7 linked regions of the Xenopus tropicalis genome follow. The protein of the gene in region 1 interacts with the protein of each later gene in a pairwise test. Links are inferred from orthologs where the notes say so. Each region holds a gene or a part of one and is shown in the gene's direction. Other genes may lie near its edges. The genes, in order: banp, fam117b, pogz, mrrf, l3mbtl3, map2k1 and ppic.

Region 1 (3,641 bases):
CATTTATAGAGATGTAAACCTTAAAAACAAACAATTAATGTTATGTTTATTAAACTTAAAGAACTGATGAAACTTTATGTACTCTAACAGTATTGATTTGGACCTTTAAAGTTTGTTCACAGATAGTTACTGTCTGATTTTGTTAGTGTTTGAGTGTTAGTGACACTCAAATGCTCCGTGGTCTGGGCAGCTGGTGAGAAGCTAAAGCTAGGGGTCATTTCAAATCATCAAGCCAAAAATGACGTCATAGATGCTGATGCTACCGGGCTAATTATTAAACTGTGATTCAGAATGCACTGGTTTCTGAGCTGTCATATAATGGACCTGAATTAATTACTAATCAGCTTCGCATTGTGACTTTTATATTGTCAATATGCAGTATTTCGTGCGTCTTTAAGTTTAGGTAACTGGCAGCAGCAGAGAGCATGTGTTATGGATCAGCAGAAAAAAAATGATAGGAATCTACTTGGGGCATCTTCAAATTTACAGATCTTTACTGCAAACAAGCTGTAGTAGCCTTGGGCTTCTACAGAATCTCAAAAAATAAAGTGCAGCATTTCTAGTCCTTTGTTAAGCTTTAGCTTTCCTATAAATCATTTTTACATGTTTTTGTAGACACCTATTCTTCAGCATCACAAACTCAACAGATTATGGATTGTCCCATATCCCCATAAGTGTTACAAATAGGGTTTTGGGCACTGGTGCTTTATATAAAACTTTATATGAAAAAAAACAATAAACAGTCTTTTAGGAAGTATGCAAAAGTCACATAATAACTGAAAATGTAGTGCCATTAAGCAAGCCCATAAAGGGAATATTCATTAATAAACTATATTTTACTAAAACATTTGCTATTTTGTTTAGTTTTAGTCTGAGTTTAAGAACAAAAATGAATGCATTAGAAGGGATGTCGTTGAATCAAATGCAGAACCTTTGGAACAAGGGCACAGGATGCAGATCCAAAACTCAATGCCAGCAAGAGTTTATTCTTTCAGCCTAGGAACTCCTCTAATACTGAGAATTCTATACTTTTAGTGACCAACAGCAGCGTTGACACAGAGCCTGTTTAGATATTAATAATATACTGCTTTAAGTTCTCAAGTTCATTAAGTCTGGATTCTCACAGAGAAAGTTTGGCCTTTCTGAACTTTTGTAACTGTAAAATAGGTTTGCAAAACTAAAAGAAGCCTTTTTTATTAAGTAAATGCTTGATTCACTGACAAATCAGCCAAAGATATTATTTAATTGCTCCAGAGACCAGGTTTATTTATGTAAGCTAGGAACGGGTTGTTTTTATAATATTAATGCAACTCTGTGTCTTGGTAACACAGCTACCAGAAGTTTTCATATAATTCCCTGAGACCGAATATCACCCAGATTTGTAATAAAAATAAACAGCCAGGCTTTAATAATAAAATACTTAGATTCCTTGAATATTTTTTTGGGCAGGTGTTTCATTTTACTTTCTCTGTTTTGAATAATGATTGACAACAACTAAACTTGCACACTAAAATCAACTTCCCATACCTTATCTGATAAGGGATCATTATTTATGGTATACTGTATTAAAAAATGGGGTATGCCTTTAATAACTATTAGAGTTGCCACCTTCTGGCAGCAGGAACTCCGGGTACAGTTGTGGAATGAGATGTTGGTGTAAGGCATGTGACAGCAGTTGGCCGGGCTATGACATAACAACCAGCGATTGGTCGATTGCCACATGAATTAAGGGGAGGCCTGTCCAGATTTCCTAATTTAGAAAAGCAGGTAGGGGGTTTTGACCTGGAGAACCTGGTTTTTGAAAGGGACAGGTGGCAACCCTAACAAATACTTAGTACACAGTGAGCAGTCGAAAAATTAGTATATAAAGCAGAATGGGATTTTTGAGGAAATGGGGCTTTCTTAATTAATGGGGCAAAAAAGGAGCATGTTTTAACAGTGTCATGCAGAACTGTGTGATAAATTCATTCAAAATCATTTGTGACCAATTGAATGAAAGCTGAGCATGCACATTTTCAAGACTTGAGAGGCTTTATTTTTCTTTCCAGCATGTTTTTTTGAGCAAGTATAATCTTTGTTTTATGATGTCATGGAATCTGCCTTCTGGGATGAAACAGCTATTTAAAAAATATAATTATTCTTAATTATTCTTAAGAAGCAGCCTTCTTATACAAAAATGTAATTTAAAAGAAAAAAATACATCCTGATGATTTTCAATATGAAGATGTATTTTCGATAGATGAATAGATAGCTAGTAGAGCAGAGTTTAATGTAGCTCAAATTATAGGTTACTGTATTTTTTTTCTTAGATTTGTTATGTGGTGTGATGCTTTTACTAGTGGTTTTTCATGGTGAACGGTGAACATAATTTGCTTTCTTTCTGGTATTCAAGAGGCAGCTACACACTGTAGTAATCTCCCCGAAATGCCATCACAGCGGCGTCTGCGATTTACATTTTCACTGGTGGAATGGCATTTCAGGGAGATTAGTCGCCCGCGAACAGGGAGATTTGTTGCGGGCGACTAATCTCCCCATGTGCCAGAGCCCTAAAAGTTGCCACTTTTCTGAGATTTTTATTTGTCAAAATAGCTAAAAATTCAATACAAACTTTAGAGGTTTTGGATATTTGGCGCCATTATTTGTGCAAGATTTCTAAAAATACACAGTTTTTATGTGACAAGTTGAAAAATGTGTGATTTTTCCCAACTTTTCTGTGACTTTTCCAGTTCAGACTTTTTAGTATATGTAAGACATTCGTAGAAACAAGTTTATTCGAATTAAAAAAAAAAAAGTTATTTTTAGTAAATCTGCCCCCACATGAGTTTCTTTGAGAAAGTCATCAAATGTGACCAAAGCTTTGTAAGAATATTCTAAATAAATTTATTAGAACTGGTGAGTGCAATGTTATGTTATATTTAATTACTTTTCTGTCCATTTAATGTGCTGTCTGATCTTACAGTACTATAAAGGCATATACTGAGTATGTTCATAGACATATATTGTGCCATGGTTCAAATCAAATGACAAGAATCTTTCTTGGGAAGCACAATCCTTATATCTGTTTCTGTTTCAACTTAAATAACAACTCAAATAATCATATATATCTGTTGTAACAGGTTAATTTTTGTGAGAGGCATGGAATCAGATATAGTGATGCAACAGATTTTCACTATCACTTCTAAAACAATGGTTTGCATCAAATATGTATATTTTGTTCCAATCTCCAATCCATGTTGTTTATGATTTAAGTCCTACCACCTTCTTTCCAACCCTCTTCTATGTATTGTTAAATGGGAAGCCTATGTTTTGTATGCATGCTAAAGCTTTTAATGGTAATATGTACTTCTTTTGCTTTTTAGAGGATTATCCTAATGGTACATGGTTGGGGGATGAACATAATCCAGAGATGAGAGTAAGAAGTCCTATAACAGCAGCTGACATGCTGCACATCAGTACCAACTGTCGAACAGCTGAAAAGATGGCGCTTACTTTACTTGATTATCTTTTCCATCGAGAAATCCAGGCTATCTCCAACTTGTCAGGCCAGGGGAAACATGGGAAAAAGCAACTGGATCCATTAATGATCTACGGAATAAGATGTAAGTAAAGTGATTCATGAACTTTACTAACGTAAGTTTTGG
Region 2 (3,641 bases), on another chromosome or scaffold:
GAGTGGGATTCTTGCGGCTCACCTGGTGGTTTGAAGTAAATGTTGGAGAAGGCCTGTGGCAGATGAGACATTTTGTTGCCCTCACTTAATCTCCTCCAGTGTAATGACAAAATGCCCAGAGTAGCATTCCATGCATATGTTTTATATCTGGCTATCTACATTATATACAGTCGGAATATAATTTTAGACTAGGGATGCACTGAACCCACTTTTTGGGTTTGGCCGAACCCACCCAGAAGGATTCGGCCAAATCCTAATTAGCATATGCTGATTAGGATGGCAAGGGGTTTTTACTGCCCATTTAACCCTTTCCGAATTCTAATTAGCTTATGCTTATTCGGATTTGGTTCGGCCGGGACTGCAGATACGGCTGAAACCAAATCCTTACAAAAAAAAAAAAGCTTGGATTTGGCCGAATCCCGAACCGAAGCCAGGATTTGGTGCATCCCTGAAAAGACAACAAAAAAAACTATTTAGTTGCTGGGGTTGGAGGCAGCTAAAATTTTATGTATAAATATGTATCTTTATATAGTGCTATTGTATATGCAGAGCTGTACATATTTACGATGTAGTAATAGTACAAATGGGGGGGGGGACATCCTGCTTGTGCTGCTTCAAATTTCAGAATTCTTAGGTGATTCTTTTGCGTTAATCCCTTTGTGTCACTTTTTAAAGAAGATTTAATAGGGTGATTCACTATGTTAAAATGCTTATTACTTTATTGCATACCTTTTCCACAGGTACCATTTTATTTGGGAGCAGCCTTCCACAAGGTTTCACTACCAGTCAAAACCAGTGCCAGTTTTACATGGGTGTCACATTTTGCTGCTGTAAATTTTAACAAAACCAAATAAACAAAACAATGAGAGATGCCCAAACTGTCTCCCAGTATACATAGTGGTAGTGATGGTCTTTATGGTACACATGCAAGATGGCGGATGTTTATATATCGACATAACTTCTTGTGCAATGCCAAACTTGAATATTGAATATACTTGGGTACAGCACCTGTAGCCTTTGGATTTTCTTACGTTTTTATCCAGTTATCGGTTAAAAGTGTCTGCACCCAAGCATATTTAGTTCATTCAGGTGCAGGCACAGGTAGGAGTGTATGGAGCGCATTTTCGGCAATTGTTTTTCGACTTGCTGAAAATATGCGCCATAAGCTTCTTCGCGTGGCATTCGCCTAAGAGCTGAACGTTTGTTTTTGATTCACTTTATGCCCCCTAAGCCTTTCCATGAATGTGTAAGGGCTCTGTTTCAGTTAAATCACGCCGCCACGTATGCCATCCCACCGGCGATTTACATTTTCGCCGGTGGGATGGCAATCCGGGGAGATTAGTCGCCCGCGAACAGGGAGTTTTGTCGCGGGCGACTAACCTCCCCGTGTGCCAGAGCCCTTACTGGCTCAGCCTGCAGTTTAAACTTTGAATAATTTGCTGCAGCCTCATTGATAGACAGACACATGCTCCTTGTCACCTCCTGTTGTGTTTGTCCCATAAAAGAAGGGTTCTAAAGGCTTGTTAGATAAGGGGAATCTTTGGTAGCATGATGAGACAAGGGAGGCCCTAACTGAGAAAACTTACAGCGTAGACAATTCCCTTCATTATTTTATAGCCCATACTGAAAAAATGCCACAGTATGCTTTCCTATAAACTAGTATATGCCGCAACATGAAAGTTTGACAAACCGTCACAAATTATATTTCCAGTAGGGTATTGTCCATGCAGATGTATTTGTTCCTTTACTATCCAACCCTTCCACAATCAGCCTGCTGTGAAGTTCCTTCAGTATCATTTTGATAACACTCTTTTATTACAGAGTTCGATGTCCAAAAATGTACTTACTCCAGTGACTATTCCCATTACAAAATCCTCTGGGTCTCGATTTCGCAACAGTGTAGAGGGGCTGAACCAAGAGATTGAGATAATTACAAAAGAAAATGGAGAGAAGGAAGAGCAACTCTTGGTAAGTGAAAATTTCCTGCAAACTCTGCCCATACCCAGATTAGTTTGACTTACCATGGGGAAGGCATCTCTGTTTCACATTCACATTCTCCGCTTTACATGGAATCAAGAAGCATATATTATTTTAAATGTTCACCCTCCATGTTATGGGCTTACTTAAGAGGGTGGGATACGCCACTATTCATCTTGAAGCATATATCCTTGTGGTTTCCCAGCATGGAGACTGTTCAGGCCTTCCTGATGTCAATGGGAACACTTCAATGGGTTTTCTGCACCTGCTCCCAAAGGTAAGTTATTAGCTTGGAGCACAAAGTGCTGTATGGTATTGAAAATGTTATACTGCCCATCAAACACTTCCTGCCTCTAAGGCTGTGACCTGTTTTTAATTTTATTTTTTTTCCTCTCTCTTCTCAGAATAGGACTAACTTCTTTACTGTTTCAAACATTGTGTTGTGTTTGTAGGTTGTTTTCTTGTTTTTTCTTTGTCTGTTCTAACTTTGTTCTAAGTTTTTATTTCATTTTAAGTTTTTTACATGAAAATGAACATGCTTAGTTTTATCAGTTTATAGTGTATCCTTTTCGAATATGCACAAGTCTTAGCAGATTATTATTATTTTTAGCCGTGTATTATTTATGAAAGTACTGTTGTCCAGTCCAAAATTATGTAAAATCTTTGCTGTGGAGTGCATTATCTTTTGAAATTTGTATTTAAAAAAAAAAAAAAAGGTCTCCACAAAGAAGTGGGTAATTTTGTAATACACATTTAGTTATGTCTGTGTAAGTGTGTAGAATGCAGTACGTGCTTTGCTGTGTCTGAAACATAAAGCATTAACCCCTTCTGGCTTAGCGGCCTGCTTCTGGCAGCAGTATAATAAGGTAACTATAAGTACTCAACCATTTTTCTGTATTAAATATATTTTAAACAGTTTCTTAAAATAGTATATTTGTGCATTGTTGCTTTCATTAGAGCAGAGACTGATGCTGCCCAGTTAAATGTAGCATGTTCATTTTCAGTAAGGGTTCTGGAACATGAGCAACATTTTTTCACCATGCATCTTGCTCATTTCAGAATTTTGCAGGAGAACCATTAGTCACAAGCATGCATGTTAACTAAACTGCATGTAAAAAGGTGTTTTGAAGTTTTTGGTTTGTTTTTATTTTTTTTAATAGCCCCAAGATATCCCAGATGGACATCGTGCTCCCCCACCTCTAGCTCTGCGCAGTATAGATACTCAGACACCTGGAGGGGTTGACCGCGGAAGCAACAATAGCAGCCGCTCACAATCCGTGTCACCAGCCTCTTTCATTACAATCTCTAATGAGTGCAACGAGGAAAGCCCTTGCCCAGCTGATGACAATATTGCAGATCCTCGAGACAAAGGTATATTGGCCGATAGTCTCTAAAAGGGGATATATATATATATATATATATATGAAAGCACTCACAGCTACAGTATCAATCAGGTCAGTGATTTATTTCAGCATACCATAGATGGTATGCTGAAATAAATCACTGACCTGATTGATGCTGTAGCTGTGAGTGCTTTCTACTGTTAAGTTTGAGATATATATATATATATAATCTATCTGCTATTTCTAGAGAATGTCTGTTCAAATGTTACTCCATTTTAAACCACCAGTGTATTGAAGCAAAATGATTGCAACAAAATTTTT
Region 3 (4,427 bases), on another chromosome or scaffold:
TCAAGCTGGAAAAAAGGAGAAAAGGCACAGGTTACATAGCAGATAACACACAAGTTCTGTAGAATACAATAGTGTTTTATCTGTTATCTGCTATGTGCCTGTGCCTTTTCTCCTTTGAATGGCTGCCCCCATACTACACAGCAGCTTATTTATATAAATTATAGTAGACTTTCTGAAGTAAACACACAACTTTTACCAGTGCAGAGCAGCAGCAGATTATATTTTAGTTACTTTTATACACTTTCATTTTTTGGTGTTACTGTTCCTTTAAATAGGGCCATTGGGCCATTTCATATTTTCATTAATGACACAGGCAGCCATATTGCTACTAACAGGGAAGCAGGAGGCCATTGATATGACAGTAATTAAAGACAGAAGCAGCCATATTGTTACACTGACAGCCATATTAAATAGCCATTGGACAATTATTATTCTACATAGTTATTAGTGACACTGGCAGCAATATTGCTACACACAGAAAGATTGTTATGAAAGACTTTCTAATGACACACTGACACACATATTACACTGTTATTACACACAGTTACTAGTGACACAGGCAGCCATATTGCTACACACAGGAAGACACTGTTATTAAACACTATTATTGACACAAGTAGCCATATTATGACACTGACAGCCATATTAAATTGGACCATTGTTATTTTTACAGTTATTAATGACAGGGGAGCCATATTGCTACACATAGGGAAGTAGAAGGCCATTGTTATTACACACAGTCATTAGTACCACAAGCAGCCTCATTATTAAAGTGGAAGCCATATTAAATAGCCATTGGGCCATTTCATATTTTCATTAATGACACAGGCAGCCATATTGCTACTAACAGGGAAGCAGGAGGCCATTGATATGACAGTAATTAAAGACAGAAGCAGCCATATTGTTACACTGACAGCCATATTAAACAGCCATTGGACAATTATTATTCTACATAGTTATTAGTGACACTGGCAGCCATATTGCTACACACAGAAAGATTGTTATGACAGACTTTCTAATGACACACTGACACACATAGTACACTGTTATTACACACAGTTACTACACACAGTTACTAGTGACACAGGCAGCCATATTGCTACACACAGGAAGACACTGTTATTAAACACTATTATTGACACAAGCAGCCATATTATGACACTGACAGCCATATTAAATTGGACCATTGTTATTTTTAGTTATTAATGACAGGGGAGCCATATTGCTACACATAGGGAAGTAGAAGGCCTTTGTTATTACACACAGTCATTAGTACCACAAGCAGCCACAATATTAAAGTGGAAGCCATTTTAAATAGGGCCATTGGGCCATTTCATATTTTCATTACTGACACAGGCAGCCATATTGCTACTAACAGGGAAGCAGGAGGCCATTGATTAAAGACAGAAGCAGCCATATTGTTGCAGTGACAGCCATATTAAAACACATTGAGCCATTGTTATTTCACACTGTTGCTGCCCCTGTCTATTCCATCAAGGGTAGGGCCTTGCAGCCGTGACGTCACGGACCGCCTCAGGCAAGCAGCCAATCAGGAGACGCGGAGGAAATGAAGTCACGGTATCCATCCGCGCCGTGTGGCCCGTGTCCCTCCGCGCCGCTCTCCCCTCTTTGTACGCAGCTGGCGGTTAGTGTCCGGCGGGTGTGACCGGGGGGAGGGAACCCCGGGGCGGGACCGAGCCTGGGAGCGAACGGGGCTGCGCGGCAGTAGGAGGAGGTAAGAGGCCGAGTGGGCGGGAAGGATGTACGGGTAGGCCCTGGGGCCCTGCAGTGTCGGGGTGCGGGAGTCCAGGCCACAATGTAACCTTCCACCTCCATGTTGCTTCATGGGGATTATTTTGTGAGGAGGAGCATGGTGTAGGGGTGAGGGCTCCCTGCTGTGAGTCTGTAGTGGGGTGTAAGCATCAGCACCCATGGGTGGGACAGCACCAAGGGGAATGGGGGGCTCACACAAGTGAGGGGTGGGACAATGGCAGCACCAAGGGGCCCCTCAGGCACAACTATATTATTATTATATTGCTGTGTATGTATATATATATATATGGCTGCCTGAATGCACACAGCTATCCCTGTCATGTACTGGCCAACTGGCCCATATATATATATATCATAGAGATGTGCGCGCCCAACGTTTGGGCCTTTATTTGCCCCCTTCCTCAGGCCGCAAGGATTCCCAGCCCCGCGGGTTTGACTCTGTGTGTATATATATATATATATATATATATATATATATATATGGCTGCCTGAATGCACACAGCTATCCCTGTCATGTACTGGCCAACTGGCCCATATATATATATCATAGAGATGTGCGCGCCCAACGTTTGGGCCTTTATTTGCCCCCTTCCTCAGGCCGAAGGGATTCCCAGCCCCGCGGGTTTCACTCTGTGGCCGTAGAACCGCATTTATGCGAATCCAGTTGCCCAATCCGTGATCTCCGGCTTTAGCCAATGAAATTGGAACCTGTTAGGGTTTAAAGGGGAAATATTGCGTGAAAAAAACATATGAATTGTACTTATCTCCCTATAGAAGGAATGGGCTTTAAAAAGTAGTGTTTTGGGTGTATTTATTGAAAATATCTTTATAAAACTCCACTAGTCCCGCCCATCTGTCCCACTTCCTGCTGGTTCCTTTCCCAGGCCCGCCCACTTCACCTTAGCACAGGAACCAATCAGCAGCTAGGCTGACCTGATAGGGACCCGAAGGCTGTCTGTGCTTGTGATTGGTTCTCCCACTCCTACTGTGCTTCTGGCAGGGACCGTTGGGACACGCCCACCCCTCATATGAAACCCAGACAGGGACCTGAGAGGATCTATAGGGAGCTCCAATAAAGGGGCCATTGTTACAGATTAATGTTTAGCCCAAAGGGAAACCAGCAGGTCCATTCCGTTTGTGTCCATATATTCTCTCCTGTGGGATATAGGAACTCTGGGTCGTTACCATGGTTACCTTTGGGCACAAAGTTCTTGTTCTGCCCTCGGATCATACCAAATTGAGCCCCAAACGGAATTTCGTTGGAAGTTGCACAATGTGTACCGGGCGCTGGGCCCAGAGCACCGGGGAGCCGAGTTCTGTTGGGTTATTGTAAATGAACCATAATTGCGAAATAATGATTTCTATTTATTTTTGATGTTTTTAGGATTAAAGGCAGAACTTGCAGCTGAATTCTCCGTGTCCAGGGATCAAATAGAAGGTACTGTTGGACTCTCGGCTCTGTCGCTGTATGTAGGAGGTTGGACTATTGGTTGGACTATTACAGTTGGTACATTAGTTGGTCAATTTCCCAGCAGCCCCTTCAGCCCCTACTGAGCATGCTCCCTGAGCGTTACTAACGTCTGTCCCATAGCAACTGTTACAGTTGGTACATTAGTTGGTCCATTTACCTGCAGCCCCTACTCAGCATGCTCACTGAGCGTTACTAATGCCTGTCCCATAGCAACTGTTACAGTTGGTCCATTAGTGGGTCCATTTCCCAGAAGCCCCTTCAGCCCCTACTGAGCGTGCTCACTGAGCATAACTAATGCCTGTCCCATAGCAACTGTTACAGTTGGTCCATTAGTTGGTCCATTTCCCAGCAGCCCCTTCAGCCTCTACTGAGCATGCTCCCTGAGCGTTACTAACATCTGTCCCATAGCAACTGTTACAGTTGGTCCATTAGTTGGTCCATTTCCCTGCAGCCCCTACTGAGCATGCTCACTGAGCGTTACTAATGCCTGTCCCATAGCAACTGTTACAGTTGGTCCATTAGTGGGTCCATTTCCCAGCAACCCCTTCAGCCCCTACTGAGCATGCTCACTGAGCGTTACTAATGCCTGTCCCATAGCAACTGTTACAGTTGGTCCATTAGTTGGTCCATTTCCCAGCAGCCCCTTCAGCCCCTACTGAGTATGCTCCCTGAGCGTTACTAACGTCTGACCCATAGCAACTGTTACAGTTGGTACATTAGTTGTTCCATTTCCCAGCAGCCCCTGAAATGGAACCATGAAGGATTTATAAACCCCAAAGTATGAGTATGAAGCAGTACAGGGGTATATGTAGCCCCCAAGCATGGTTGCAGAATGCCTACTGCCTCTAATACCCCAGTCCATACCCCGGAACTGACTTTGTGGCAACAAGAACACCCTGACTCTTTTGCATTTAGGTCTCCTCAGAATTTTCATGGGGTTCCACGTGGGTCTTTATTTCAGCATGGCAGATACACTAAACTCTCACCCCCCCCCCCCCCCCCATTTGCTGGTTATAATGGGCGGAGTCTGCATAGGGAAGCCACGCCCTGCTTCATTTGGCGCTCTGTGTTTTACAGATTTAACAGAACCCAAAACGCGTGTCAGCTCTGGGGTCACGTCTTTTGGGGTTGGGATTTGGCACATCCCTCTGTTTTTATAGTATATTTGTTTCAGTGAAACATA
Region 4 (4,312 bases), on another chromosome or scaffold:
AAAACTGATTTTCTTTATCTCTGTAATAATAAAACAGTACCTTGTACTTGATCCGTTAGACTGATTCGGCAGCTAATCGGCCCGTGTATGGCACTACCAAGGGACTGCCTGACCAATCTCTGGCCTGAAATCGGGCAGATATCGATCGACAGGTTAAAAAATCTAGTCGGATCGGGGACCGCATCGACTCAACTTTGCCTATACCCGTCGTTATAATTCGATCGTTTGGCCCCAGGGCCAAACGAATTAGCCTGGATTCTCCCAATATCGCCCACCCATAGGTGGCCATTTTCTGACCCTGTATAGCTGCCATGTTTGAGTCTACTACAATGCACAAAGCTTCCCGTCCTGTTGCTGCCATGTTTAGAGTCAGTACCTCAGAGTAATCCTATTCCTATGAGAGAAGTAATGAGATAACTCATTCACTAACTAGTACAGGTATGGGATCCCTTATCCGGAAACCAGTTATCCAGAAAGCTCACAATTATGGAAAGGCCATCTCCCATAGACTCCATGTTAATCAAATAATTTTAAAACTGATTTTCTTTATCTCTGTAATAATAAAACAGTACCTTGTACTTGATCCCTTAGACCGCTACCAACGAGACTGCCCGACCAATCTCTGGCCTGAAATTGGCCAGATATCGATCGGCAGGTTAAAAAATCTAGTCGGATCGGGGATCACATCGGCTCGTTGATGCGGTCCCCGGACAAACTTTGCCTATACCCGTCGTTATAATTCAATCGTTTGGCCCCAGGGCCAAACAATCGAATTAGCCTGGATTCTCCCATATATCGCCCACCCGTAGGTGGGGGATATCGGGAGAAGATCCGCTTGCTTCTTAAGGTGTATGGGGACACTAAGATATAATTATTCCTTATTGGAGGCAAAACTATTCTATTGGGTTTAATTAATGTTTTATTCATTTTTTAGTAGACTTAAGGTATGGAGATCCCAACTACAGAAAGACCCCTTATCCAGAATACCCTTGGTCCTGAGCATTCTGTTTAACAGGTCCTAAACCTAAAAAGAAAACCTGAGGCTTTTGTTCTTATTGCAAAGCTACATATTTACACTTTACCCAACGGCATTACACTGGTAGTAAGGGAAGATAAGGCTGCAAAAGATTGCAGTTATAGGCCATACACGACAGACGGAATTTCAGCTGGGAACAAACAGGGTGTCATTTCCCCAATACCCAACATTCACCACACGAACGAAAACACAGTTTAAGAAAAAAATAAATACCTGCTACAAAACGAATAGAGCTCTACAATGTCATACAGCTCTCGCTAGCCTCCTCTCTCCCAGATATCGCCGCAAAGGTTCAGCTTCCAAAGCAAATCTTTCCACTTGCTTACGTCACTGCAACGGGACCGCACTCAGGGGCGGCGCATTTTCATGACGTAAGGAAGGCAGACAAGCATACCAAAGGCGAAGGTGGGACGGGAATTATATCATCTATTAAAACGCTTATTTGGTTGGGTATTATTGGTATATTATTGTGTCTTTTCTGAAGCCTGAGGTTTATACAACTCATGATGATGTATTAGTTGTGTGGTAATATCATCATGGAGTTGTAATACAACTTGCAAATGAAAGAATTGTTTGGGGCTCACAGAAATGATTTCCACATGTGGTAGGGCTTTCTAAATAAAAAGCAATGTTATCGTTGACAATACACTACCAAAAATGTATTGGTAAAGCTGTATTATTGTGTTGGGTCACTGACTCCCTTTTGGACTCCTATAAATGCAGAAATTGGCAGCAGGTAGAAGTCATTAGTGAGGCTAGTGCATTATATTTGCATAGTGCTAATTATATTGTCAACCATTAGGATAAGTGAATAATGACAACCAGCACATGAACAGTTCAGTGTAAAAACGAAACTGGGTAAATAGATAGGCTGTGCAAAATAAAAAATATTTCTAATATAGTTAGCCAAACATGTAATCTATAAAGGCTGAAATGGGTGGGTGTCTAACATAATAGCCAGAACTTCCTCCTGTCAGCTCTCTAATCTCTTGGTTAGTGACTTGAGGGTGGCCACATGGGACATACCTGTTCACTTAGTTTGTTTTTGATCCTGAGCACACAGGTCAGATGGAAAAGCAAATAGTTATGTCCTCAAGTCATTGATTGGTTACAGGTTAGAGAGCTGCTAAGGAGGAAGTAGTGTTCTGGCTACACTGAACTGTTCCTTTAAGCCTTATCTTTGTGATAATTTCTAACTGCTGCCAATCTCTGCGTCTTTATGTGTACTGTAAGCAGTACCCACTTTGCAAAAGGTGGACATCTCTTTTAAATGGCCATTTTAAAAATGGATTCGATTTCTGCCCCCACTTCTGATGGGCAGATCATTGCAGAACCTAAGGGTTTATGTCAACAAGTATTTTTCAGCGGTTACCCCAAATTAAATCCTTCCTTGCCCAGTAAAAGGCCCTTCACCTGCTATTGGTAATTAACACTCAAACCCCAACATATCTGCTCTATTGAAACACACTCTCTGATGAAATTCAGACAAAGTGGAGCAAGGAACGTGGTTAGAAGCTGTGGCACAATACAGCACTTTTGAGCAATCATATCTTAGATGGCTAAGAACCACTTAAGGCCAATGTACATGGCTTACTTCGACTGCACAAGAATGTCAGTTGCATTAGAAACTTCTGAAGTGCTACTAGGACATCTGAGAAGGAGAAACACAAATGTATTTTTAAGAAGTACATTTTAATTTTTTTATGGCAAACTGCAATATAGTCCATGGTGGATAGAGACTGATAGTGTGCAACTTTGTTGGAATGCAGTGAGAGCAAATGCAGGTGCATGAAAAACATATACTCTGTGTAATGCAAGCTGGCATCATATTGTGCAACATAAAACATATAAAGTAAACAATTGCCACTCTGCATTTGCTTTTATATTAATCAATCAATGCTGGGACTGCAAGTTCAAAATATTTATACAACAATAGCCAGCTGGCCAAGACCCACAATCATCTTATTAATTCAGTTTTTTCCACACTTTCATGTTTCTTTATGACAATTTTATGCATTTATTTCCAGAACAAGGCATGGCTCTAAGGTGCTTGTGTAGACTGCAGCCTGTGGCACTCCATTTCCGAACAGCAACATCATTGGGACCGCAGAGAAGTGCTTTAGCAGTAAAATCGCAAGAACATTCTATAGCCTTTATAAGTAGGCACCTTGCTACTAAGAAAAGTAAAGGTATGTTGTTGTCCTCAGCAACTGAAGGGATAAATATTTAGCATTTTTGTTAAATGGGAACCTTATGCTATACAGAGAAATAACTAGTCCCATTACTGTGTTTAAATGTAGCCAAAAGTAAAGGACAAGTTCAAGCAAGAGTAAATCTAAATGCTGCCCTTGTTGAAGACATTATTAACCTGGAAGACGTGAAACAAGAAATGAAAAGCATACTGGAGAATCTTAAAGAGGATTTTACTAAAAACTTAAGTATTCGAACTTCCCCAGGTTAGTGAGTCATTTCCCACATATATGAATTATTCTAGAACTGTGCAGTGACAAAACTGTTCATCATGTACCTGTAAACAGACCATTTTTCAGGTTAGAATATAGTAAATATTTACAGTTTATGATGGCTCACACACCTTGCATTGAAACTTTAATTTAATTTATTACCAGTACAGATATTAGAAAAAAATAAAAAATGTATCCGGAATTAAAGATGTTATTGTTCATTTTCACAGAAGGCCTTCTTTAAATAATCAGTTTGTGAGATACATACTTCAACAGGATCATAGCAAAATAAGAATTTAATGCATCTATTTCCCTCCTCAAGTACCATTAATTCAAGTATGTATGCTGTGGAGTGCAGTTTTTAGCATTCACACGATAGCAACATATAGGGGGTTATTTATCAACGTTGGTATTCTTTTCTTTTCATGATTTGAGTTTTTTGTGTGTGACAGTGTGCTTAGAAAACACAGCTGTCCTGCCTAAAAATGTATGGCAATTTTTTTAATTTGTAGAAAGAAAAAAAAAAAACATTTTGAGAAATAACCCCCATGAATTTAACGTTTCCCAGAAGGTCTGTACTAACAGATACAGAGGCCAAGAAAAGAACATACAACTTTAAAATCTCCCCATTACCAGTACCATATCGTTTGCTTTCCTGTCTTGTGACAGCTTGACCTCAATGGCCGAACCTTTTTGGCCTCACTGGGTTAGGCATGTCTGGGTTAGACATCTCTAGGAAGGGCATTCCACAGTCTCACTGCCCTCACCGTGAAAAACCACCTACGCTGCTTCAAATGGAAGCTCCGTTCCTCTA
Region 5 (4,272 bases), on another chromosome or scaffold:
TCTTATTTATCCACAATTTTGAAAGGGTGCCAATAATTTTGTCCAGCCCATTTTTGGAGTTTTGTGTGACATTATGTCCAATTTGCTTTTTTTCCTCCCTTTTTTGTTCTGTTCCAATACACACAAAGGGAATAAACATATGTATAGCAAAACATCTGTTACTGCAATACTTTTCTGTGAGAAATACTTTCTGGGGTGCCAACAATTTTGACCATGACTGTATAGCTGCTGTTTAAAGGAACAGTAACACCAAAAAAATTATAAATTTAAAAAAAACTAAACTATAATGTACTGCTGCCCTGCACTGGTAAAAGTTTTGTGCTTGCTTCAGAAACATAACTAGAGTTTATATAAACACTGGTGTGTAGCCATGGGGGCAGCCATTCAAAAGAAGAAAAGGCACAGGTTATATAGCAGCTAACAGATAAACCCTGTAGAATACAATGGTGTCTTATCTGTTATCTGCTATGTAACCTGTGCCTTTTCTCCTTTTTTCCAGCTTGAATGGCTGCCCTCATGGCTACACATCAGCTTATTTATATAAACTATAGTAGTGTTCCTGAAGCAAACACCCCAGTTTTACCAGTGCAGGGCAACAGTACGTTATGTTTCAATTACTTTAAAACACTTTCATTTTTTGGTGTTACTGTTACTTTAAAGCAGTGTCTGCCTGTCCTTTCTACTCTCTGCCCTGGTGGCTCTGGGGTTTGAAACAATGTAACACAAGGCAGCAGACTGACAGACCTGCCTTGCTGGAGGAGCCTGACCTACATTGTTTAAAAAGTCATAACCAGGGGTTCAGCAAATGCTGCTTTCTATAGCAATTACAAATTACTTTTAAAGCTCTAAAATGTTTAATAAATGCATATTGGAAAGTTGCTTATAGTTATGTTTTCTTTTATTAGGCAAAACATTATTTTTGGTTTTGACATGTCCTTTAAATTAACCACAAAGTTAATTTGCTGGGTGATTATTTTCAGAAATACTGTTTTCCCCTAGTATACATATTTTATCAACCTAGACTCATGTTTTTTTTGTTCTTCAATGCTATGCTTTATTATGTAGCTGTACAAAGCACTGGAATGCCACGCATTAGCCACCATAGCCGGGCAGTCACGGATAAACCACTCCTCTTAATCGAACGCAATTCGGTGGCAGCTATTTATTTTACTTTTGCGCCCCCTGTAGGCGAGCTTTTTAGTTAATGCCAGTCTCCATAATAAATGTGGTTACATTTCTCTTGAAAACTCAATTTCTCAATAATGCTCAGAACTTTGGAGTTACCACATAGGGCTACTATATTATCCTTATCATACCAAATTTATAATCATTCAGACTGCAACTAATAAAACAGAACTCCTAATTGCCCCACTCTTTGCCCCTTAAATTACCCTGCTTGATTGGCGGGGGGCAGTGGGTGGGAATGTGCTGTGTTACCGTAGCAACAAAGAGAGGCGGTGTGAATTTAGGATCTGCCCCCTGACGCCATCTTATGGTGGAAGAGGTGGCTCCGGGAGAGAGAAGAGTGGTGAGAAGTGATGGTCTGCATAGTGAGAGGGGAGTTTTGCCGTGTGTGGGGTAGTGTTGCTTTGCAAACGGGGAAATGAGGGAATAGCTGCAGCCAGAGGAATAGAGAGCCGTGATATTGCAGGAAACTGTGTGTGATGCTTATTAGAGAGCTAGCAGTACAGTGACGGATCAGTATCCGGCAGGCAAGCTGCACCCCAGCACTCCTAACCTGCTGCACACTGTCCTGACTTACCGCAGCAATCCCCCCTCCCTCCTATTACAGAATGTTTCAGGACTTTAATCATCTCCAGGTTGATCAGTTTAACACAATAAACTGCTCCAGGATTGCCAGAAAACTGGCTGAGGAGTATGGAGTATTATATATTGAGAAAGGGGTGCACATAATAAGAATTATTGTTCCCTGCAATACTAGCATAGAAAATTAGCAGTCTATATAAACTATATAACTAGATTTTAAAAATGCTTTCAGAGAAAACCTTCCATGCAAACTTGCAGCAACTTTACTATTAGTTTTAGGTAGTAACATTAACTACACTTTTACACATTCCTAAAATAAGCCATAAATGCTGTAGTCTTATATTAGGAGTATATCTCTGCTTTACTTGTGTCTTGACTGGAATGGAAGGGTTTGCCACCGCACACCTCTTTAAATATCCAACTATGGGAATGCATGCTGAATGCATCAAAACAAATATATTTCATTTTGAGATGTTAACATACTTTTCACTAATTTAGGAAGCTTAACACAGTAGCCTAGCTGGACATCAGGTGTTGGGATTGCATACTAGCCACTACAGCACCTTGTTAGTGAAGATCTGTGCCCCCCAAAGATGCCCTTGTAGCTCCCCATTTTTTTCAGCTGTTTTGCACCATGCAATCTGTACAGCTGTCAGTTACTGGCTCTTAGGGACCAACTCTCAATATACAGTAGAAGTCACTGTACAAGGCTGTGTAATTCATATTAATATATGAAATTCACAAACTGAAATTACTTATCTGAACTGCCCATATATAATTTTCTTTTTTTTTTTTTTTAATAATCCAGGAAATACACAGTAGTGTGCCTGTGGCTCACAGGGACCATTTCCCCATCCCCCTAAGGCTGGCAGATTCATATAACCCCTCCCTTATCTTTTTCCATATAAAGGTGATACATTCTGGGGCTTGAAGTCCCTGTGCTTCCATGGTGGGAGGTGCATAAATTCTCTGAGGAGTTCCTCTGAGAGGAACTTCACGTCTCTGGATAATATCACATGACAAAAGATCAAGGAGCGGTTGTATGGATAGTGAAAAATAATCCCTGTTAATTAGAAGCAGAGAAGCAGATGATTATGTATTATTCTCAATCTGAGGAATACTGTTAAGTGTTTATCCTTGTTTTTTTACATAAACCCAACTGACCCTATGTCAGAAAGGGGATATATATCAGTCCTGATGGTGTCTGCACTCCAAGGCTTTAGTATTCTGTGGGGTGCACAGCCAAAATCTGAGTATTTAGCATGAAATAATCCATGGCCGGCACACCCTTAAAATTCAAAAAAATTTTTTTATTGAAAACTCATTGTTTAAAAACCTGGTTTTTTTTTGAATTTTAAGGGTGTGCCGGCCATGGATTATTTCATGATATATATATATATATATATATATAGATATATATATATAAAATATTAGTATGTAATATGTTATATATGTAATTAATTTTAACTGGATACAATTAAGGTTTTGTCAATGATTCCTATATATGACCAAAAGATTTTAAATGCTTGTTATAATGTGCTGTGAGTGACTAATTATTAATATTAACACATATTTATAAAGCACCAATATGTAGCCCTATAAACTAATAATAAGTATGTATGGATTAAACATACAAATTTACATACAGAAACAACCAATAACTAATGCAAGAGGTAAAGCATTGTCCAAATGAGTTTATAATCTGAAAATCTTGTTTAAATGTTTTCCTTGGTATATTTATTATTTTTTTCAATATTTAATTCCTGGTATTCCTGGCAGCACATTTCCACAGCATATACACCATACTCACACACACACACACACACACACATACATACGTACAGTGATGCTTGGAAGTTTGTGAATTTGATCTAAAACATCATCTGATCTTCAAACAAGTCCTAAAAGTAATAAGAAAACCTAGTGTAACAAATGAAACAAAAATTATTATATTTGGTCATGTATTTATTGAAAAAAAAATGATCCAATAACATATCTGCATGTAGCAACAATAAGTGTATCTTTAGGATTATCATATCATTTGAAGGTGAATTCAGTCTGGTGTTTTCAGTCAATGGGATGACAATCAGGTGTGAGTTAGAGACCCTGTTTTATATAAAATAAAAAGGGGGTACCAGCAAAGCCTGATCACACATACAACACATTTGTGGATGTGTATCATAGCTCAACAAGGTGTCTAAGGACCTCAAAAAAAAGAGTTGTTGATGCCCATAAAGCTGGAAAAGATTACATGATCTCAAAAGAGTTTGGACTCCACCAATCAACAGTCAGACAGATGGTATACAAATGGAGGAAATTTAAGACTGTTGTTACCCTACCCAGAAGTGGTTGACCATCAAAAATAACTCCATCTGGAAGGTGTCTTATAGTCCGAGAAGTTACAAAGGAAACCAGGGAAGCGCCGGAACTAGGGGTAAGCAGAAGAAGCACCTGCCTAGGGTGCAACAATGGGTGTGCCAGGCAGGTACCTCTCCTGCCTACTCC
Region 6 (3,641 bases), on another chromosome or scaffold:
TGATATTACAGGTCAGCTCAGACCCCATAAAGTGAAACCACATGTCCTGCAACCCTGATCCTTTTTATCAGGGGTCCCCAACTTTTCTTACTCGTTAGCCACAGTCAAATGTAAAAAGGCTTGGGAAGCAACACAAGCACCATAAAAGTTCATGGAGGTGCCAAATAAGGGCAGAGATTGGCCATTAGGTAGCCTCAATGCACACTATCGGCTTACAGGGGGCTTTATTTGGTGCTAAATCTTGTTTTTATTCAGCCAAAACTTGCCCCCAAGTCAGGAATTCAAACATAACTACCTGGTTTGGGGACACTGAGAGCAACATCCAAGGGGTTGGTGAGCAACATGTTGTCCCCGAGCAGCTGGTTGGGGATCACTGCTTTTATAGAATCATAAAACTCCTTTGAGATTTCTTATTTTCCTTTTCTCTTTGTAGGACAAACCTTGAAGCTCTGCAGAAAAAGTTGGAAGAGCTGGAGCTGGATGAGCAGCAGAGGAAGCGTCTAGAGGCCTTTCTCACCCAGAAGCAGAAAGTTGGGGAGCTGAAGGATGATGACTTTGAGAAAGTGTCGGAGCTTGGAGCAGGCAATGGAGGAGTGGTGTTTAAGGTGTCCCACAAGCCGACTAGCTTGATTATGGCCAGGAAGGTGAGATTTTTGAATGGAGTTTAAGTAGAAATAAAGACAGAAGGAAAACGTGAATTTGTTATTAATTTGTGCATAAGAATACAATGATTGACATATTCTATTATTTTCTGGCAGTTAATTCATCTGGAGATAAAGCCTGCAATCAGAAATCAGATTATCCGAGAGTTGCAGGTTCTGCATGAATGTAACTCCCCATACATTGTGGGGTTCTATGGGGCCTTCTACAGTGACGGAGAGATCAGCATTTGTATGGAACACATGGTGAGAATTAGGGAGGGACTTGAAAGGCCAGAGCTCAGAGCCTTTGGGATAATGAGCTAATGATAAGGAGATTTAAACTGTGCTCTAGTCATTAGCTGAGGCATCAGATACACTCAGGACTGTATCTATACAAGGTGTACACCTTTAGGGCGAAGACACACAGGGCGATTAGTCGCTGCTTTGAAAAGTCTTACTGGCTTAATTAAAAGTTGCGGCAACTAATCGGCCTGTGTGTAAACTTGTATTTTCTTTGCTTGATCTTCTATTTTTTGCCCCTGCAGGATGGAGGCTCCCTTGATCAGGTTTTGAAGAAAGCTGGCAAAATCCCTGAGAAAATTTTGGGAAAAGTCAGCATTGCAGTGAGTATTTAGCAAATGCAAATTTGTGATTTATATATATAAGAAAACTATCCAACAAAATCAAATCCTTCCAATTATATGCTCATTCATATAGAGGGCATCCTGGAAAGTAAAAGCTGTAATTTATACTACAAGTTTTAATGTCATGTGTTACACTTGCTCCTGTCAAATTCTGATATCCATTTCTAACTGCAGGTGATAAAAGGTCTAACCTACCTGAGAGAGAAGCATAAGATAATGCACAGAGGTAAGTTTCTATATGGAAGGGCCCTCATTGACTCATTGATGTATAACGCCTTTTAAAATGTTCAGCTTAGGACCGGAAAGATCATTCTGTATTGAAAACCGCTGTTATAGCGTAACAATAAAAAAAACTCACTGTAGCACTAATGGTGCCATGCCAACCACAATGGCTTTATATAGAGAGATGTCTCCTATTAACTAGGATTAGGTGTTTGAGGAGAAATAATGTGCTTCCAGTAGCATAAAGGCATATACCCTACGTAAATCTTAATGTTTAATAGCTCAAAGTGCTTTTATGAGCCCCTTTGCAATGTTATTATTTTCTTTAGTAACAACCTTGCTAAACAACATTAGCTTTATTTTCTGAATCAGGATGTGTTCTATTGATCCTGTCACTAAGCAATAGAACTGAACAGGAAAGCATCAAGAGAGGCTTCCTGCTTCAATAAAATAAGCTTTGCCATTCTACCCAGCCCCCACACACTTTTACCAATTTTACATTCCGTTATTGGGTTAGGTATATGTCCCTTTTAAAAGTCATTTTTTTTTTTTTGTTTGTTTTGCAGATGTGAAACCTTCTAACATCCTAGTCAACTCTAGGGGAGAGATAAAACTCTGCGACTTTGGAGTCAGCGGGCAGCTAATAGACTCCATGGCAAATTCCTTTGTTGGGACAAGATCCTATATGTCAGTAAGTGTCCTCCAGTTCCTCTTCACCCCAGAGCATATGTTCAGTGACAGCTATTCTTAAGTGCTTGTGAAAATACAATGTTGCACAGGGGTTCCCAAATACGAAATGTACATTAATTTAATTGTAGTCATGTAAGGGTTTTGTAAAGCTGTTTCTATTATTTGAGGCAGATTCACTTTGATATACATCTTACTGCTCTTAGGATCTGAACACCCCAAGGGTCCCAAACCATAACACACCACATTTTTCTCAATGTATATTAATAAACATGGTCCTACCCCTTCCATGGTGAATTTGCAATAATGTGTGAATTTTTCAGGTAAATATACATTTGAAACATGTTACAGTCATTGGAGCTGATCTCCTATTGCCATGTTATGTGTTTATGCATCGACTGCACTCTGCACAGAGTCACGTGTGTTCACACTGTGTGTCAGGCAGCAGATGGAGAATGCCCTCCCACACTGTGCAATGCTCCGTGTGTGTGTGTGTGTGTGTGTGTGTGTGTTTGTAATTACAGCTCGTCACATTCTGGCTGTTGGGGGTGGTGATGCTTGTTCTTTGTATTCTGGAAGGAGTCTGCCCTAATTACTACATTACAGATGGTGTATATATTATGTAATGCTACAAAGCAAAGTGCATATACACTTGGTCAGTTACAAAGGTTTGTATGTGTGTAGGGGTGGATATAGATGTATAAGTTAGGGAGGAACTCCTATAACCAGGTAAGTCATCTTGGTACCCATGAAGTAATGCAGACTCAAAAGCAAGGAATTTGTTAATAGCCCTGTTCTGTGCACCTTGCAGCAGTTAGTGCAGAACAAATAAAGTACTTCCGTTTGCTAACTTTCTTAGGTCTTCAGAACAATTGTGGAAGTAGTAAAAGGAAGTTGATATGGGTAATTCAATCTCAAGTTAATTTTCAGAAGAATAGAATGTCCTATTAGCAGCCTTTTTGCATTCTTTTCCTTTGTTTCCTTTATAGTTTTTAAATTGTTTACCTTTCTCTTTCACCTTTCAAATGGGGGAAAAAACTGTTGTTCCGAGTTACTTTTTATGACTTCTTTTTCTATCAAGGCCCTTTCCTATTTGTTCTTTGGTCTCTAATTCAAACCACTGCCTGGTTACCAAGGTACATTGGACTTTCAACAGCTATCTGGCTTCTAGGATCCAAACTGGAGAGTAAGGTTGCCACATGGCCACTATTTTACCAGCCTGGGCAGTAAAAATGATGCTTTATGCCAATGTTATTAAAAGGGGAAAAAAGTTAAAAATATAGGAAGCCTGGTGTTTCCAAAAAAAGGTGGCGACCCTACTGAAAAGTTGCTTAACAAAAAGCTAAGCAGTTGTAAAAAAAACAAAATTTTCTTAGAAAATTACATTCTACAACACACACACAGAACCAGAAAAATGGACACCAACCTGGGGTAGCAAGAGGTACTT
Region 7 (4,321 bases), on another chromosome or scaffold:
GGATTCAAACAAATCAGCAAACCACTGAGAAGCCTTCTGTATTAAGAAACCCTTTCCCTGGCCATACAAGAGAGGGTGCAAAATAAAAAGATGTTTTTAATATAGTCAGCCAAAAGGCTGAAGTTAACAGATGTCTAACATAATAGCCAGAACACAACTTCCTCCTCTGTATCTGTCTAACCTAGTCAGCAAATTTTCTGGGCCCCCCAGGTCTGCTATCGCCAACCCCGCCCCTGGGCCGGCAACCCCCAAACTCCACTTCTCTCCCCACAGAACCAAAGGTCAAACAGACAGGAAAAGTAAATAAAACCCTTTTGGCCAAGGGGTTATTAAAGGGGTGGTTGTCCTTCAGGTTTACTTTTAGTATGTTTTAGAATGACCTATTTTTAGAAACTTTTCAATTGGTCTTCATTTTTTTATAGTTTTGATTTATTTGCCTTCATCTTCTGACTCTTTCCAGCTTTCAAATGGGGGTCACTGACCCCGGCAGCCTGTGTTGCTCTGTGAAGCTACAATTTCATTGTTACTTTTTATTACTTATTTTTCTATTTATGCTCCCTTCTATTAATATTCCCGTGTCTCTTTCAAACCACTAGCTGGTTGCTAGGTTAAATTGAACTCTAGCAACCAGGTAGCTGCTGAAATTCCAAACTGGAGAGCTCCTGAACAAAAAGCTAAATAATTAAAAAACTGCAAATAATACAAAATGAAGACCAATTGCAAATTGTCTCAGAATAGCTACATCAGGGGTCCCCAACTTTTTTAACCTGTGAATATAAAAAAGGTTGGGTAGCAACACAAGCATGAAAAAAGTCTGTATTTTGTTATTTTGTAGCCCCTATGTGGATTGGCAGACTGTACCCACAGGTGACAAGTCTCTGGAAAACACCTTCCCATTCTCTTAATTTGCTGGCCAGGGGCCCCTAAAGATAAAAAAAAACAAAACACTGCTGGCCATAGTGATGGGTCACACAGCTGAGCGGCAGTGTAAAGCCAGAGAGAGGGTGCCTGTGCTTCCCCCAAGCTAGCCATATTAGAACGAGAAGCAAACATACTGAGTATGCAATTATCATTTGTCACAAATACCCATAATACTTTCCGACCCTTTCTTGACTTAAACCAAATGCCCACAGTTATAGCAGCCTTTGGTACTAGATTTCATGCGGATGCACATTTTTTTAATTGATTTTTGACGGTGTAGGTGCCTAGAATTCTCGGCTTTAATCCTGCAACAGCGACTCTCACACTGCAGAAATATACTCTTCCGCTGCTCGGAGAAGGGTTTTTGGAGAGGCGTCCGTCCCCTCCTATCCCAGCCCCTCCTATCCAAGCCCAGCCTTCCCAAACTTGTCGCATTTCTCCCGCAGCTAAGGAATAAAGCGCAGCGTTAGGGGGCGGGGACAGCCAGGGCTAGGGGCTGACTCTGTGGGTGGAGCCGAGCTTTGCTGACGTTGCTGGCTTATCCCATACCGCTATAGTGGCGGTGCTGCCAGCTAGGCTGGAGATGTGTAGGTACCGTAGCTTGCTGCTCTTGGGGCTTGTCTTGTTCTTATTTTCCACAGCTCATGGCTACAGGAAGAGGGGACCTGTCGTGACTGCCAAGGTAACACGTTACTTCCGAACACTCCAACTCTTGAGCAAAGCCAGAAACGGGCTGCCCCACCGCCCCATCAGCCCAGTGGGTCAGTAATAGTAGCAGCTAGCCCGCCGCCCCATTATCAGCCCAGTGGGTCAGTAATAGTAGCAGCTAGCCCCCCGCCCCATTATCAGCCCAGTGGGTCAGTAATAGTAGCATATAGCTCGCCGCCCCATTATCAGCCCAGTGGGTCAGTAATAGTAGCATATAGCTCGCCGCCCCATTATCAGCCCAGTGGGTCAGTAATAGTAGCATATAGCCCGCCGCCCCATTATCAGCCCAGTGGGTCAGTAATAGTAGCATATAGCCCGCCGCCCCATTATCAGCCCAGTGGGTCAGTAATAGTAGCATATAGCCCGCCGCCCCATTATCAGCCCAGTGGGTCAGTAATAGTAGCAGCTAGCCCCCCGCCCCATTATCAGCCCAGTGGGTGAGTAATAGTAGCAGCTAGCCCACCGCCCCATTATCAGCCCAGTGGGTCAGTAATAGTAGCAGCTAGCCCCCCGCCCCATTATCAACCCAGTGGATCAGTAATGGTAGCAGCTAGCCCCCCGCCCCATTATCAACCCAGTGGATCAGTAATGGTAGCAGCTAGCCCCCCGCCCCATTATCAGCCCAGTGGGTCAGTAATAGTAGCAGCTAGCCCCCCGCCCCATTATCAGCCCAGTGGGTCAGTAATAGTAGCAGCTAGCCCCCCGCCCCATTATCAGCCCAGTGGGTGAGTAATAGTAGCAGCTAGCCCACCGCCCCATTATCAGCCCAGTGGGTCAGTAATAGTAGCAGCTAGCCCCCCGCCCCATTATCAACCCAGTGGATCAGTAATGGTAGCAGCTAGCCCCCCGCCCCATTATCAACCCAGTGGATCAGTAATGGTAGCAGCTAGCCCCCCGCCCCATTATCAGCCCAGTGGGTCAGTAATAGTAGCATATAGCCCGCCGCCCCATTATCAGCCCAGTGGGTCAGTAATAGTAGCAGCTAGCCCCCCGCCCCATTATCAGCCCAGTGGGTCAGTAATAGTAGCAGCTAGCCCCCCGCCCCATTATCAGCCCAGTGGGTCAGTAATAGTAGCATATAGCCCGCCGCCCCATTATCAGCCCAGTGGGTCAGTAATAGTAGCAGCTAGCCCCCCGCCCCATTATCAGCCCAGTGGGTGAGTAATAGTAGCAGCTAGCCCGCCGCCCCATTATCAGCCCAGTGGGTCAGTAATAGTAGCATATAGCCCGCCGCCCCATTATCAGCCCAGTGGGTCAGTAATAGTAGCATATAGCCCCCCGCCCCTTTATCAGCCCAGTGGGTCAGTAATAGTAGCAGCTAGCCCCCCGCCCCATTATCAGCCCAGTGGGTCAGTAAAAGTAGCAGCTAGCCCCCTGCCCCATTATCAGCCCAGTGGGTCAGTAATAGTAGCATATAGCCCGCCGCCCCATTATCAGCCCAGTGGGTCAGTAATAGTAGCAGCTAGCCCCCCGCCCCATTATCAGCCCAGTGGGTCAGTAATAGTAGCATATAGCCCGCCGCCCCATTATCAGCCCAGTGGGTCAGTAATAGTAGCAGCTAGCCCCCGCCCCATTATCAGCCCAGTGGGTCAGTAATAGTAGCAGCTAGCCCCCCGCCCCATTATCAGCCCAGTGGGCCAGTAATAGTAGCAGCTAGCCCCCCGCCCCATCAGCCCAGTGGGTCAGTAATAGTAGCAGCTAGCCCCCCGCCCCATTATCAGTCCAGTGGGTCAGTAATTGTAGCAGCTAGCCCCCCGCTCCATTAACAGCCCAGTGGGTCAGTAATAGTAGCAGCTAGCCCGCCGCCCCATTATCAGCCCAGTGGGTCAGTAATTGTAGCAGCTAGCCCCCCGCTCCATTATCAGCCCAGTGGGTCAGTAATAGTAGCAGCTAGCCCGCGCCCCATTATCAGCCCAGTGGGTCAGTAATAGTAGCAGCTAGCCCCCCGCCCCATTATCAGCCCAGTGGGTCAGTAATAGTAGCATATAGCCCGCCGCCCCATTATCAGCCCAGTGGGTCAGTAATAGTAGCAGCTAGCCCCCCGCCCCATTATCAGCCCAGTGGGTGAGTAATAGTAGCAGCTAGCCCGCCGCCCCATTATCAGCCCAGTGGGTCAGTAATAGTAGCATATAGCCCGCCGCCCCATTATCAGCCCAGTGGGTCAGTAATGGTAGCAGCTAGCCCCCCGCCCCCCCCGCCCCTTTATCAGCCCAGTGGGTCAGTAATAGTAGCAGCTAGCCCCCCGCCCCATTATCAGCCCAGTGGGTCAGTAAAAGTAGCAGCTAGCCCCCTGCCCCATTATCAGCCCAGTGGGTCAGTAATAGTAGCATATAGCCCGCCGCCCCATTATCAGCCCAGTGGGTCAGTAATAGTAGCAGCTAGCCCCCCGCCCCATTATCAGCCCAGTGGGGTCAGTAATAGTAGCATATAGCCCGCCGCCCCATTATCAGCCCAGTGGGTCAGTAATAGTAGCAGCTAGCCCCCCGCCCCATTATCAGCCCAGTGGGTCAGTAATAGTAGCAGCTAGCCCCCCGCCCCATTATCAGCCCAGTGGGCCAGTAATAGTAGCAGCTAGCCCCCCGCCCCATCAGCCCAGTGGGTCAGTAATAGTAGCAGCTAGCCCCCCGCCCCATTATCAGTCCAGTGGGTCAGTAATTGTAGCAGCTAGCCCCCCGCTCCATTAACAGCCCAG

The links.
Region 2: the proteins of banp (region 1) and fam117b interact in binary tests that used the Homo sapiens proteins (3 or more experiments, as listed by UniProt). The two-hybrid records come from large-scale screens. The link is inferred for Xenopus tropicalis from reciprocal best matches to the Homo sapiens genes BANP and FAM117B.
Region 3: the proteins of banp (region 1) and pogz interact in binary tests that used the Homo sapiens proteins (3 or more experiments, as listed by UniProt). The two-hybrid records come from large-scale screens. The link is inferred for Xenopus tropicalis from reciprocal best matches to the Homo sapiens genes BANP and POGZ.
Region 4: the proteins of banp (region 1) and mrrf interact in binary tests that used the Homo sapiens proteins (3 or more experiments, as listed by UniProt). The two-hybrid records come from large-scale screens. The link is inferred for Xenopus tropicalis from reciprocal best matches to the Homo sapiens genes BANP and MRRF.
Region 5: the proteins of banp (region 1) and l3mbtl3 interact in binary tests that used the Homo sapiens proteins (3 or more experiments, as listed by UniProt). The two-hybrid records come from large-scale screens. The link is inferred for Xenopus tropicalis from reciprocal best matches to the Homo sapiens genes BANP and L3MBTL3.
Region 6: the proteins of banp (region 1) and map2k1 interact in binary tests that used the Homo sapiens proteins (3 or more experiments, as listed by UniProt). The two-hybrid records come from large-scale screens. The link is inferred for Xenopus tropicalis from reciprocal best matches to the Homo sapiens genes BANP and MAP2K1.
Region 7: the proteins of banp (region 1) and ppic interact in binary tests that used the Homo sapiens proteins (3 or more experiments, as listed by UniProt). The two-hybrid records come from large-scale screens. The link is inferred for Xenopus tropicalis from reciprocal best matches to the Homo sapiens genes BANP and PPIC.

What each region holds. Positions count from the first base shown.
Region 1 is NC_030680.2:65,882,981-65,886,621, forward strand, and holds part of banp (protein BANP), read left to right. Parts: intron 1-3,359; coding exon 3,360-3,599; intron 3,600-3,641. UniProt on the Homo sapiens protein: Controls V(D)J recombination during T-cell development by repressing T-cell receptor (TCR) beta enhancer function. Binds to scaffold/matrix attachment region beta (S/MARbeta), an ATC-rich DNA sequence located upstream of the TCR beta enhancer.
Region 2 is NC_030685.2:52,491,333-52,494,973, forward strand, and holds part of fam117b (protein FAM117B), read left to right. Parts: intron 1-1,821; coding exon 1,822-1,968; intron 1,969-2,182; coding exon 2,183-2,254; intron 2,255-3,137; coding exon 3,138-3,348; intron 3,349-3,641.
Region 3 is NC_030684.2:144,795,277-144,799,703, forward strand, and holds the start of pogz (pogo transposable element with ZNF domain), read left to right. Parts: upstream 1-1,527; 5' UTR 1,528-1,735; intron 1,736-1,859; exon of another isoform or gene 1,860-1,881; intron 1,882-3,157; 5' UTR 3,158-3,211; intron 3,212-4,427. UniProt on the Homo sapiens protein: Plays a role in mitotic cell cycle progression and is involved in kinetochore assembly and mitotic sister chromatid cohesion.
Region 4 is NC_030684.2:36,483,907-36,488,218, reverse strand, and holds the start of mrrf (ribosome-recycling factor, mitochondrial), read left to right. Parts: upstream 1-1,411; 5' UTR 1,412-1,441; intron 1,442-2,799; exon of another isoform or gene 2,800-2,820; intron 2,821-3,063; 5' UTR 3,064-3,071; coding exon 3,072-3,225; intron 3,226-3,336; coding exon 3,337-3,492; intron 3,493-4,312. UniProt on the Homo sapiens protein: Responsible for the disassembly of ribosomes from messenger RNA at the termination of mitochondrial protein biosynthesis. Acts in collaboration with GFM2. Promotes mitochondrial ribosome recycling by dissolution of intersubunit contacts.
Region 5 is NC_030678.2:83,384,296-83,388,567, forward strand, and holds the start of l3mbtl3 (lethal(3)malignant brain tumor-like protein 3), read left to right. Parts: upstream 1-1,455; 5' UTR 1,456-1,492; coding exon 1,493-1,557; intron 1,558-4,272. UniProt on the Homo sapiens protein: Is a negative regulator of Notch target genes expression, required for RBPJ-mediated transcriptional repression. It recruits KDM1A to Notch-responsive elements and promotes KDM1A-mediated H3K4me demethylation.
Region 6 is NC_030679.2:117,157,149-117,160,789, forward strand, and holds part of map2k1 (dual specificity mitogen-activated protein kinase kinase 1), read left to right. Parts: intron 1-433; coding exon 434-644; intron 645-758; coding exon 759-905; intron 906-1,186; coding exon 1,187-1,264; intron 1,265-1,459; coding exon 1,460-1,511; intron 1,512-2,073; coding exon 2,074-2,198; intron 2,199-3,641. UniProt on the Homo sapiens protein: Dual specificity protein kinase which acts as an essential component of the MAP kinase signal transduction pathway.
Region 7 is NC_030677.2:169,409,359-169,413,679, forward strand, and holds the start of ppic (peptidyl-prolyl cis-trans isomerase C), read left to right. Parts: upstream 1-1,396; 5' UTR 1,397-1,504; coding exon 1,505-1,603; intron 1,604-4,321. UniProt on the Homo sapiens protein: PPIase that catalyzes the cis-trans isomerization of proline imidic peptide bonds in oligopeptides and may therefore assist protein folding.